Sus scrofa: one gene and its partner. The protein of the gene in region 1 binds, or shares a complex with, the protein of each later gene. Links are inferred from orthologs where the notes say so. Each region holds a gene or a part of one and is shown in the gene's direction. Other genes may lie near its edges. The genes, in order: KCNJ4 and TAX1BP3.

Region 1 (6,149 bases):
ATTACAGCGTTGGCGCGCACCGGTTGCTGCGGCAACCGAGTTGTCCTGAACCGGGGAAGTGTATAAACATTGCCACAGATGCACAATTAGATCAGGAAGAAGAATAGAACAGAAAATAGAAACTTCCAGCCTTATATAATTCTGGGCCAAAACGTTACTAGGAACCCGGGCCCGTGCCCAACCTCGGCCCTGCCAGCCGGGCAGCACCAGTTCTCTCCTGGGCCCCAGTGGAAGGGAGGGGTGAAGGGGGCCTGCCCACCATGGGCCCAGCTGGCATGGCCCACCACCAGGTAGGGTGAGAGGCCACCTCCACTGAAACAGCTGCGGATGCTGACAGGCAAATCCTGCCTCTCACCAGCCTATCCTGCTCCTTGGAAGCGGAAAGGCAGGAGGGCACCTGGCTTTAACAGAGCACCTCCCATCTCCTGGGGTCCTGCGAGGTGGGATTTTGATCCCCATTTTACAGATGAGGAAACTGAGGCTCAGTGAGTTAAAATAAGTTATCCGAGGATATAAAGCTACATGATGGGGCGTCTGCCTCCGCTACTCCAGGTCTCCACACCATGAACTATTCGATAGTGACAGCACCTGGGGCTGAAGTTAGCCATGCCTGGATTTGGACTCACTTACCACCTGCGATATGGAAATAGGGGTGCCTATCCGGGAGCCCAAGCTCAGGGCTCCCCTTAACTCTGTCTTGAACACCACATTGGAGCCTTCCCCCACCACTGCTCCCAACAAGTCTGGGGTCAGGACAGGAACTGAGCTGGGGCCATGGGTCCCAGCCCTGCCCAACAGAACCTTCTCCCATGATGAAGTGCCCTATATCTGCTCTGACCAGCTCGGCAGCCACCAGCCACATGTGGCCCCTGGGGAACTGAAGTGAACATTTTATTTCATGTTAACTAAGTGTAAGAGCCACAGGGGGCCAGTGGCTGCTGAGTTGGACTGCACAGGAGAATGTCCACCCCCGAGAGACCCAAGAGGGCAGAGGCTGGACCCAGGGAGATGAGCAGGGGCCCAGAGCATTCATGACTCCCTCTGTTCAGGGCAAGTGGGACAAATGTTGGGAGGACGATGCCGAGATGGGCATCAGGAAGCCTCCAGAACATCGGAACATCAAGCAAAGGAGACCCGGTTGTGCACCGGGAGTTGGGGAGGGAGGACGTGAGAGGCTGAGACTAGGACCTGGATCCTGGTGGCCTCAGCTTCTGGTCCAGCAGCCCTCAATCCTGGAGCTGGGCTGGCCGTGGAGGCACCGGCTCAGGCCCCTGCACTCCCTCCCTGTCGGCAGGACCGCCTTAACTTTCCCAGCCTTGCGTCCTGGTCCAGGCTCTTCCCCTCCTGAGCATCTTTGGGTGGGTGTCTTGCCGCCCTGAGCTGGGTTCCCCGGGTCCTAGGAGAGCCGCCCCCCAGCAGAGGCCACCACTCCCGGCATCTCACGTGTCTGGCTTCTCCCCCCTCAGGCCCTGCGTCTTCCCAGGTGAGCACGCCGGCTTCAGGACATGCACGGGCACAGCCGCAACGGGCAGGCCCACGTGCCCCGGCGGAAACGCCGCAACCGCTTCGTCAAGAAGAACGGCCAATGCAACGTCTACTTCGCCAACCTGAGCAACAAGTCGCAGCGCTACATGGCGGACATCTTCACCACCTGCGTGGACACGCGCTGGCGCTACATGCTCATGATCTTTTCCGCGGCCTTCCTCGTCTCCTGGCTCTTTTTCGGCCTCCTGTTCTGGTGCATCGCCTTCTTCCACGGTGACCTGGAGGCCGGCCCGGCAGGGGCCACGACGGGGTCCCCGGCGGGAGGCGGCGGCGGCGGCGGGGCGGCCCCGGCGGCCCCCAAGCCCTGCATCATGCATGTGAACGGCTTCCTGGGCGCCTTCCTGTTCTCGGTGGAGACGCAGACGACCATCGGCTACGGCTTCCGGTGCGTGACGGAGGAGTGCCCGCTGGCCGTCATCGCCGTCGTGGTCCAGTCCATCGTGGGCTGCGTCATCGACTCCTTCATGATTGGCACCATCATGGCCAAGATGGCCCGGCCCAAGAAGCGGGCGCAGACGCTGCTGTTCAGCCACCACGCGGTCATCTCCGTGCGCGACGGCAAGCTCTGCCTCATGTGGCGCGTGGGCAACCTGCGCAAGAGCCACATCGTGGAGGCCCACGTGCGGGCCCAGCTCATCAAGCCCTACATGACCCAGGAGGGGGAGTACCTGCCGCTGGACCAGCGGGACCTCAACGTGGGCTATGACATCGGCCTGGACCGCATCTTCCTGGTGTCGCCCATCATCATCGTCCACGAGATCGATGAGGACAGCCCCCTGTACGGCATGGGCAAGGAGGAGCTGGAGTCCGAGGACTTTGAGATCGTGGTCATCCTGGAGGGCATGGTGGAGGCCACTGCCATGACCACCCAGGCCCGCAGCTCCTACCTGGCCAGCGAGATCCTGTGGGGCCACCGCTTTGAGCCCGTGGTCTTCGAGGAGAAGAGCCACTACAAGGTGGACTACTCGCGCTTCCACAAGACCTACGAGGTGGCCGGCACGCCCTGCTGCTCCGCCCGGGAGCTGCAGGAGAGCAAGATCACCGTGCTGCCCGCCCCGCCGCCCCCGCCAAGTGCCTTCTGCTACGAGAACGAGCTGGCCCTCATGAGCCAGGAGGAAGAGGAGATGGAGGAGGAGGCCGCGGCCGCTGCCGCCGTGGCCGCGGGCCTGGGCCTGGAGGCGGGCTCCAAGGAGGAGGCGGGCATCATCCGGATGCTGGAGTTTGGCAGCCACCTGGATCTGGAGCGCATGCAAGCCACCCTCCCGCTGGACAACATCTCCTACCGCAGGGAGTCCGCCATCTGACCTCCAGGCCCGCCCTCGTCGCTCCCCACAAGAGCCTCTGCCGGGGTGGGATCCCAGGACCCCCCGCACACTCAGGACAGAGCTCACCCTGGCTCCGCGGACCTTCTGGAGGGAAGTGGGGGGCTTCGGAAACTGGGGGACCCCTTCTTACTGGCTCCAGAACCCAAGCCTGGGAACGGCCCAGGCTGCCCTCAGTCTGGGCAGCCCAGGTTGCCCAGCGCCCACCCACTGGTGACTCAGGGACCCCAGGCCCACCCCCCTCTTCCCACCGACCCTTCGAGGACATTCACCCTTTGCTCTCAGAACCTTGGGGAAGGCGGCTGGACTGTTGGGGGGGGTGGGCATCTTGGGGTTCTGGGGGGGCCGGTGGTTAGCTTGGGGGGCGGGAGGGGGGTGCGTTTCTTCTGCATGACTGTGGAGTCTGTTGCTCATGACTTTCTTTTGTAAATATCCATAAAGGGAGAGATGGAGGCACCAAACCCACCTTCTGCCATTTGTACCTGCAGGACGAGTTGTCCCTCGCTGTGCATCCCTCCCCCTCCCCACCCGTCAGGCCAGCCCCTTCCCCTGCCCAGCTGGCTGGCGGCTGGGGCCCCTCAGAGCCAGCTGTCCTAGCTCCTGGATAGCGCTGGGTTTGGGTGCAGGAGTGGGACACCCGGGAGTAGGAGGAGGGCCCTCCCTCCCTGTGGTCCCTCTGGGCCCCCAAGCCGAGCCCAGACTGACAATGGCGTTTGTAACTATATATTTTTAATAAAGTATATGGTCCATTAGGGCTAGGCTGGTTGAAGATGGAGGATTGGGAAGAAGAGACAGGGAAAGAGGGAGAGGGAGAGAACAATGAGACGTACGTGTGTGTGTGTGTGTGTGTGTGGAATGTATCTGCATATTGTGCATATGTGTGTATGGAGTGTGTGTGGTATTTGTGTATATATACATATGTGTATATATGTGTATGTGTGTATATATATATGCGTGTGTGTGTGTGTGTGCCCCTATCTGAGAGACTGACCCTTGGAGGGAACTTTATCTCCTCTTGCTAGTCCCCTTCTTGGGAGCCAGTGGGAAGGATCCTAAGTGGGCATAAGAGGTTTGAGTGGGTTGGAGGCAGCACTGCTATGAACTAGCTGTGTGGCTCTCAGAAAATTGCCCATCAGCTCTTGGCATCAGTTTCACCATCTGTAGAATGGGATGCACCACACATCCTTCCTAAGGAATGTCAGCCAACCCTTGATAATTGGGGAGAAGCGAGAAGGTCCTGCTTAGTTTATACCCCGCCCCCCAAACACTCACACATCTGCCTGGACTCATGAACTTGGCTGCAGGACACTGAGGTGTGAGGGGCTCTGGAGGCCAGCTGTGTAACCTTGTCATACATAGCTGGACTTGGCCTCTGCCTCACTGTAGGACTTCGGGTGAGTCCCTTCCCTTCTCTGGGCTTCGGTGAGCCTATGCAGTGTACAAGCCACTGTAAATTTAAACAGTGCTTTATTCGTTCTAAGACTCTGTGGGCGGGCTGGGTGGCTCCTTGTCTGGTTTCTCTGGGCTCACCCCGGCAGCCCTGCAAGCAGGAACGTTGGCTGGGCCATAAGGTCCAGGAGGGCCCTCATGTGTTGGGCAGTAGGTCCTGCTGTTGGCCGCAGGGGGCCTCAGTTCTCCATCAGTGGCCTCTCCTCCTCCAAGAAGCTACACCAAATTCCTTTACGGCATCTTAGGGCAATAGCTTAAGAGGGTGAAAGCAGAAGTTGCAAGGTCTCTTGAGCCTGGCCTTGAGCTTGTATAACATCACTTCCATTGCATTGGCCAATCCAGGGTGTGATTCAAAGGGTGGGAAATTAAACTCCGCCTCTTGGGAGCGTGGTCAACTCCCATCGCAAAGGTTTACACACCAGGTGGAACTGGGCCAGACTTGCTAGTCTATTACAGAAACTTTGCGTTTAAGGGTTCCTTCCAGCTCTAAGTCTATTGTACATGCCAACTGTGTACCCAACATTCGGGCAATAAGGAAGCAGCAGGCACCCTCCCTGTTCCCTGGAATCTTCCATGCAATCATGCCAGCTATCTCAGGAAAACTGCGGGGAACCAGCAGGTCAGCTCACCTGCTGAGGAGCTGGGAAGTGCTGTTGGCTGCTTTGTGAATGACCACATTTCATCAGCACTGGCAACGCTCGGCCATTTGGGCAAATCATTGTGCATGTCACATGCCTTAACAGTTTAACAGGAGAACCTGAGGCCTCTTTCCTGGAGAAAGGGGTCCAGGTTCCCAACAACGCATCACAAGTTCTCTCATTTGCATCACACCTTTCAAGGGCTTTGGGACGAGGATTTGGTTTCAGAGAGGAAACGGAGGCCCAGAGAACCGAGGGACTGACCTGAAGCAAGGTGAGGGTGGTCAGAAGCCCCAGTCCAGGCTTCCCTTCAAGGGCCCGTAGGGGCCACTCGGCCAGACAAAAGTGCAGCTGCTCACCTGCCCATGCCCGTGGGCCTGGTGCCCTTCTCTCAGGTGGGAGCATCCCAGGTCTCACTCCCCACCCCAGTGACCGTCCCACCATCCAGCCCTGGGAGGACCACCCTGGATCTCATCCTCTCCTCCCTGCTGCGTCTCAGCCCTGCTTGGTGCCCTGAGCAGCCAGCTGTAACCAAGGAGGACCTCAGACTCAGCATCTGGGACTGGGAACACTCTTAGGGCCGCCCAGCCCCCCACTGGCAAGGGCAAGGGGGGAGCTGTAGGTATGGATGGGCCTCCTGGCCTGAGTGACACGGGGGCACTTCCAGATCCCTCCCAAACATCTTCATTGTCACCGTCTTGTCACTTGCTCAGACGCTTGTGACACATGTGACAGTGGCTCCTTAAGGAGGGCCCATCTCTTGGTTTACATGTGAGTGTGACCCAGGGTAGGTAAGTTTTGACAAGGGCCGAAGCAAAGGCTTCCTGGGGTGTCCAAGTGGAGGGCGCTGGGGATGGGCATGGGGTGGGGGCCCCAGGGGCATGAGCCCGGAGCCCAGACGTGAGCACCAGTGGAGGGCAGGCTCCAAGGCTGCAAAGCCCTGCTGCTGTGCTCTGCGCTGACTCACCTTCCCTCTCCCACCTGCTCCCTTCAGAGCCTCCCACCCGCCTTCCCCGCCCCTGCACCCAGGCAGGCAGCTCCTCTGATCTCTCACTGCACTTGGGCTCCAGGCGGCACTGAAATAGGGGGGATCGCTGACTCTGGGGGTGTAAGAACCTTAGCGATCATGAGCTTAGAGTCACAGAAGAGACCTTGAAGGAGCTGCCAAGCCTTCCCTCATGGCCTCCCCATCTCC
Region 2 (6,988 bases), on another chromosome or scaffold:
GAAGAAATTAACTGTATGCTTGCCCACTAGTATGTAGATCCTAGGCCGGTTCCAATCTGAAGGCTGATGATGCTGACTCCTGGTTACCTCACCAGCAACCAATCACAACAATGTCTACAGCTGGTCATGAACCTGCAACCCTCACCCTGTCTTAAAAAAACCTTTCGCTGAAAGCAATCGGCCATTTGGGCCTTTTGAGCACTAGCTGCCTGGTCCCCTTGTTCACTGCCTGCAAAAACAAACAAAAAACTCTGCACTTTCGTGAACGGTGTTTGTAGAGTCTCTTTATTGCACAGGGTGAGTGGACTCAAGTTTCTTAACAAAACCCCCCACTGGGTCTATCCCAGGGCCTCTTAACTCTAAAGACACAGGCCAAAAGCTATCCTTCCCAATGGCCCTCACATATGTATTTTCTTGCAAGTAACTCCCTCCACACTTGACTGTTAATAAAGTGATCTCAATCGTAATGTTGTTTCTTTAAAGATGCTACCCCCCACCCCCCGGCCCAGCTAGGTCTGGGGCTTCTGTGTACGCTCTTCATAGCACTTACCATAATTTGAATATTTGTGAAAACAAGTATTACTAGTCTTCCCAGTTAAGACTATACATTCCACAAGCAAATGCTCATTACTTAACTCTACTACCATATTTTATTTCTCAATTAAATGTATGCACTTTATTCTAAAATAATCCTCCTGACAAGAAGGGATCATGGATTAACATAGAGACAGAGGCATTTACACTCTAGACAAGCCCAAAGTTTAGCTTAACCATTGTCTGTTTAATCTTCACTAGACACAGTCTAGAAGAAAGAGCTTGAATTTATTTCTCTTTTTTTCTTTTTGGCCACACTCATGGCACGTTGAAGTTCCAGGGCCAGGGATCGAAACCGCACAATAGCAGCCACCTGAGTAGTGATAACGTCAGATCCTTAACTGGCTGCACCACAAAAGAACTTGAATTTACCTCTTTTTTTCCTTTTTTTTTTTTTTTTTTTTTTTCTTTTTAGGGCCACACCTGCAGTATATGGAAGCTCCCAGGCTAGGGGTCAAATCAGAGCTGCAGCTGCCAGCCTACGCCATAGCTACAGTAATGCCAGATCCCAGCCGCACCTGAGATCTACATCACAGCTCATGGCAACGCCAGATTCTTTAACCGAGTGAGGCCAGGGATCGGAACCTGAGTCCTCATGGACACTAGCTGGGTTTGTTACTGCTGAGCTACAATGAGAACTCCCTGAACTTACTTATTTTTTAAATGGAAACAACAGCTAGCTCTGACTTGGTGAAATGGAACTGAAACGACACCACTCACAACTGAAAGGTGTGGTTAGTGGGAGGGAAGACTGGGCTCTGAAAAGATATACTCAAATAATTCAGTACGGGCAATTAAAAGACCTACACTGAAATCCTGGCTCTGCCTTTTCCTAGCTATGCCTCCTATGGTAGAGGTATTTAACTTCTCTGAGCCTCAGATTCATCAGTGGGGGCTAAGAATCAATCTACTGCATAAGAATACTGCTAGAATGAGATTGAGTGTAGGAGTTCCCATTGTGGCTCAGCGGTAACAAACCCAACTAGTATCTACCAGGATGCCTGTTCAATCCCTGGCCTCGCTCAGTGGGTTAAGGATCCAGGCACTGCCATGAGCTGTGGTGCAGGTCAGAGATGCGGATCAGATCCCAAGTTGCTGTGGCTGTGAGGTAGGTCGGCAGCTGCAGCTCTGATTCGACCCCTAGCCTGGCAACTTCCATATGCCACAGGTGCGGCCCTAATAAAAGCAAAAAAAAAAAAAAGAAAAAGAAATGAGTGTGAAAGGTGCGCAGTACAATGCCTGGTATATAGAGCACACTTAATAAGTATTGACTGTTATTAGTTCTCGGGATGTTAATAAGTTCTCTTATTTAGGCCTTAGTGACCCCTCTGCGAATAGCCCATGTGTCAATGCAAGGAAATGAAAGAAAGCTAAGGCGCAGTCAGAGAGCTCTCCCAGAGTCAAAACCCGGCGATTCTGCACCCACAGCGGCGGGAGGGGGGGGGGGACGGGGGGACGGGGACGCGGAGCGCGGCGCTTTAAGGTAGGAAAAAAACTCCACAAAGGGTCTCACGCTTCATTTAATCTGAAGAACAGTACAGGCTCTTCGTCTTCAGATATAAATTATTCATAACGTTACAGAACAAGCAGCGAATCCAACAATTTAAAAACTAGGTAAGTCTACACGCTGTTAATTTCCGGCAACCGTCCTCCCAATCTGCTTTTCAAAAAGAAGTCATCCCTGCCCTCCTTTCAGTAGACGTGCACCATGCCGTAGAGGAATGTCCAGAACAGGACGTAGGTGAAGAGGCCTCCAATGAGACCTCCTGTAAAGAGAGGTCTTCGCGACTTAAAATATTTGTTCCACCTCCTTCCCGCCTTGAGAATTAAGAGCAAAGAGAGCAGGATGGAGGCGAGCAGGTAGAAGATGAAACCGTACAGGCCGGTGAGGCCGAGGATGCCGGCCGTGGCCCCCGACAGCGCCGACACCGAGGTCCGGCAGTAATCCAGGACGGCGGCGTTGCCCCGCACAGCGGCCTCACTGATGAACGGCGGCCCTTCCCGCTTGACCACCACAGCGGCCATCGCACCCACCCGGACTCGGCCTCTGCTTTCTCCCGAAGCAACGCGGGGCTGCGGAGAGAACCACGTTACAAGTAGCGCCCAGAGCCTGGCGAGTTGGGTTCACGCCGCCCCTTTCCCTAGGGCTGCCAAGACTTCGCACCACCTCCCCGCCCCCAGCGTCTCGGACCTTCGAAAAACGCTGAGAAAGCTGAGGGTTCGGGACGGCTGGCCGCATAGCTGCATTTCCCGCCTAGACTCGGCCACTTACCTGGAACGCGGCGGCGGAGGTAGTCACTCGACGTTCCCTCAGACAGCCTAGAGCAGGGACTCCCGCGACGCCATCTTGCGCAGAGGATGCTGGGAAGGCCCAGGCTGCGCACGCGCCAAGGCCTCGCTCCCCGCCCCCCCTCCGCCTCTGGCGCACGCACTGAGGACGCCTCAAGCACGCACCACCCACTTCCCCGCTTTTCTACGCACGCACGGGAACTTCCGAGAGCCGGACAGCGCTCCGGCAGGTGATTCGCTGGAGTCTTGTTAACTATTCATAAGGGGGCGGGCTGGGCCGTGCAGCCTTTGTTAACCAGAGAGGGCGCGGCCACCGGGATTCTCGCTGCAGGCTTCGGGGAGCGGCGCTTGGCTTCCAGATTGGGGTCGAGATGTCCTACATTCCGGGCCAGCCGGTCACCGCCGTGGTGGTGAGTGCGCTCGCTCGGGCTCTTCCTAGTTTTGGCTTGCCCCCACTTTGCAGATAGGTAAATTGATACACCAAACAGGTTGACAAAGCGTCGAACCCGGGACTCCTGCAAACCCGCAGCCAGAGCTCCGGTTCCCGCTCTGCGGGACAGGAGCCGTGGTCTTCCCCAGCCAGGCAAGAGGTGGCTGGGACCCACGAGCTTCCTGAAGACCCGGGATCAAGGCCAGATCCTGCTCGCCGCCGCCGCCGCTCTGGACTCTTCTTACTGAGGGAAAAGGCCCCGGCTGTGGGAGTCTAGGAAGCGTCCCCTTCCCAGGCCTGTGTCCCCAGCTGGGTAGCCGCGGGGGGCGGGCGCCGGATCCAAAGTCCATGAGTCGCAGCCTCTGGAATGAGGAAGTGCTTCCTCCGCTCCAGCCGGCGCCGCCGCCCAAGACTTGCGGGTGGAGGTAGCCGGAGCCTGAGTAACAGTCCTACAACCCCTCCCATCTAGCCTTGCCTTCTCGGACGCACAGTCAGTCGGTCCAGAGTGAAGGCTCATACAACTGACTTGATCCCGCTCCGAACTTTCCCTGGATCCCCAAACAACTCTTGGGGCAAAGCCCAGGTCACCCTCCTGGCACTTGGGGCCTGAGGAGACCCTTCGGGGTCGGCTCAGGCCCCTGGTTGCCCTCTTGGTTCATCTTGGGTGCCAAGTGCTATGAGAATAGGCAGAGAAGTTGGGACATTAGACTCAGACGCCAATGTCACAGCTGGATGGGGCCTGGAGACCCATTCCATGGCTGAGGTGGGGAAATTGAGTCCCAGAGAGATGTCTGGCCATGCCCAGCCATGTAAAGAAGGCTTCAAGAAGGACCCAGATCTCTGAGCAGAAATGCCTGCTGGGCAAGGAATGGGTCAGATGGAAGTCGTAGCCCTAAGGGCCCTGCCACTGGCTGCAGTATCCAGATGGGCGTGTTGGGGACTCCAGCAGCCAGGTGGTGTGACCAGGGAGCCACTGATAAAGCTGCCATGTGAGGGTGAGCTTAGCACACCAGCTCAGGCCTGGACTGCTGACAGCTGTCCTCAGCTTCACCCTGGCTGCACCGGCTTGGCTTTTCCAGCCTTCTAGCTGCCCCAGAGAGAAGGGGTCAGGTTTGCTCTTTAGCTAGAAAAAAGGGAGTGCAGGTGGGGAACCAAAGAGGCAGGAGCCTCCCTGACCTCACCCAGGAGGTCAGTGATGGGGCCTTGTCTCCCAGTCCAGACCTTGGAGATGGGTCAGAGGTGTCCCCAGAGGTGGAGCAGGCCTGGAGGAGCTCACACTCTTACACACGAGGACCTAGGTCCTGCAGGCCTCAGGTGTCATGCTTCCTGCTCCCCTTTCTCACATGTCTCTCCTGGCCCCTGGGCCTTCCTCTAAGTTTTAGGACCATGACCCCCTGGTTCTTCTCTAGGAACATGTTTGAATATGGTGGGTGGGGCCTGGCTTCTCCCTCCTGTGTCCTGGATCCGGGATGGGGTGGAAGAGGCTCCTCCCTACCCCAGGCCCTCTCCCACATACTTAACGCTGTGACAGTGTTAAAACCATTTGGCCTCTTCGCTGAACTCTGGGTCCATAGGTTCGTCCACCTTCTGGACACCTACCTGGACAGCTCTTGGTTCTCCAGCTCAACATGCTCCTTCTCTGGGATCCACATCTGGGAGATGGTTGTGTTCAGCCAGGCGGGGCCAGATGGCTGGCTGGGTGCTCCCCTTGCCGCCTCTGCATGATGGGCCATCCGGAGATGTCCCACCTCTGTGAGACATCTGTTGCCTTACTGCCTGGGTGGTCGTTTCAGCATCAAACCTGACCATGATCTACCGTCAGCCCTACTCCCCAACTCCTGGGAGCTCCAGTGGGTCCAAAATCAAGGTCAGGTGGCCAAACTCCTGGTCAGCCCAAGGCCTGGTACAAACGGCCCCTCCTTCATGAAGCCCCTCAGATCCAGATCAGGTCACATGCAGTTGCCTTTTACTTTGTTTTTTCCTTCTTCCTGTTAAAACTCTCAACTTTGGGGGGTGTGGGGTGGTCATCTGGTCTGGAAGGTGCCTGCTGAGGGCTTTGAAAGGAGCCTGGCACCGTTGGGGTCCACAATCTCACCGTGTGGTGAGGGTGCCCTGGGCCCTGCATCCACCTCCTACACTGCACAATAGCAGGGCCCCGGGGCTTAGGGAGATGTCCTGTCCCTTAGGCTGGTCTCCTGGCCCTGCACTCACCAGTCTAATGCATCTCGCCTCAGCCTTACCTCGCCTCCCGGTTCTGGTCCTGTGCCATACACTCCCGTCTCAAGGAAATGTAGCCACAGCACCTTCGAGCCTCTGCTCCTGTTCTCTTGGCCAGGACAGCTCTTCCTCCCTTCTGTGCAAGTCTGATCCCCGCTGTTCTAAAGCATCTCCTGTCTCACCCTCAACAGGGCTGGCTTAGCAATCTGAGCTGGCCTCAGCAAGGTGCCTACATGTTTTGTTCAGAGCTTGACCCCTCTTGCCCCTGTGTTCCCTCCCCTGGGACAAAGACCCCATCCGGAACAGCCACAGCATCCTGGCTCAAGAGCCAGGAGGGGCTTAGTCTGTGTTAAGAAGGCTGGTACCTGTGACGTAGGAAGCTGGGAGAGGTTAGGGAGAAGGGTTGTGTGGGTGGGTTGGTGTGGCTGAGTTCTGAGCCTTAACCCCCCAGCCTCCCAGGCTGGTGAATAGCTGGCTTCCTGCAGGAGATCCTGGGCCCCACCTCTGTGGCATGGCTCCGAGCCTACCCAGCTGCCTGAGGCTGCTGCTGGAGACACAGGCCACATTCTCTACACCCACTCGCCCCCAACTCGTTTTTTATCTTTGCTAGCAAAGAGTTGAAATTCATAAGCTGCGTCAAGGTGAGAACTTAATCCTGGGCTTCAGCATTGGAGGTGGAATTGACCAGGATCCCTCTCAGAATCCTTTCTCAGAAGATAAGACAGACAAGGTGAGGGGGTCTGGGGACCTCTCCGTGGGGCACAGAGGCCTGAGATGGTGGGTCTCTGCTTCCTGGGCCTTTGTGGAAGGAGCTGACCTCATCTCTCGCAAGCAGTCCTCTTTAAAAAGGTCCAAGACATGATCTGGTGGGAGTGAGGAGGGGTGGGGTGGGGAGAGGGCCTGCCAGCCCTCCCAGTACTAGGAAGCCTGCTCAGACAGAGGCTGGAGCGTCTGTGGGGCTGCCCCGCTGCCCCCTTGGCTGTCTTGGCACAGCCTGTGCTGGGGGGTGCTGGCTGTGGACACATGGACAGCTAAGAGTATGCCATGCTGGGCTTTGCTCTATGGATAAGAGGCCGGTCCTGTGACCCCAGTGCTTGACTTGGGGGGCCTATTTTTCAGGGCATTTATGTCACGCGGGTATCTGAAGGAGGCCCAGCGGAAATTGCCGGGCTGCAGATCGGGGACAAGATCATGCAGGTAACAGACATCCCAAAGGAGGAAAACAAGGCTTGGGCCAGAGGGTTTAAAGCACGTGGGGTGCGTTTGGGGGTGTGGGGCTGCCCCTGCCTGCCTCCCCGGGCACCTGGGAGACTCACCAAAGCCGCTCCGGAGCCTATGCTGGCATAGCCCTCTTTCCTGTGTGTGGTGGCGCTTGGTGTCCCCAGATCTGGGGCGTCAGCTTGGGTGACTCAGTTCCCCCCACAGCCCGTCCTGCTTGCAGATCCCAGAGGGCGGCGA

Evidence for each region.
Region 2: the proteins of KCNJ4 (region 1) and TAX1BP3 are in contact, whole or in part, in a crystal structure (PDB 3GJ9), measured with the Homo sapiens proteins. The link is inferred for Sus scrofa from reciprocal best matches to the Homo sapiens genes KCNJ4 and TAX1BP3. Residues at the interface, in NP_004972.1 of Homo sapiens: Arg440, Arg441, Glu442, Ser443, Ala444, Ile445; in NP_055419.1 of Homo sapiens: Leu27, Ile28, Leu29, Gly30, Phe31, Ser32, Ile33, Gly34, Gly35, Asp38, Gln39, Gln43, Asn44, Thr58, Arg59, His90, Asp91, Arg94, Leu97, Thr98.

Annotation. Positions count from the first base shown.
Region 1 is NC_010447.5:9,545,672-9,551,820, forward strand, and holds the end of KCNJ4 (inward rectifier potassium channel 4), read left to right. Parts: intron 1-1,466; 5' UTR 1,467-1,505; coding exon 1,506-2,849; 3' UTR 2,850-3,619; downstream 3,620-6,149. UniProt on the Homo sapiens protein: Inward rectifier potassium channels are characterized by a greater tendency to allow potassium to flow into the cell rather than out of it.
Region 2 is NC_010454.4:49,755,178-49,762,165, reverse strand, and holds the start of TAX1BP3 (tax1-binding protein 3), read left to right. Parts: upstream 1-3,139; 5' UTR 3,140-3,254; coding exon 3,255-3,293; intron 3,294-6,140; coding exon 6,141-6,260; intron 6,261-6,649; coding exon 6,650-6,727; intron 6,728-6,988. Other genes in the region: EMC6 (ER membrane protein complex subunit 6), read right to left, coding at 2,287-2,619. UniProt on the Homo sapiens protein: May regulate a number of protein-protein interactions by competing for PDZ domain binding sites. Binds CTNNB1 and may thereby act as an inhibitor of the Wnt signaling pathway. Competes with LIN7A for KCNJ4 binding, and thereby promotes KCNJ4 internalization.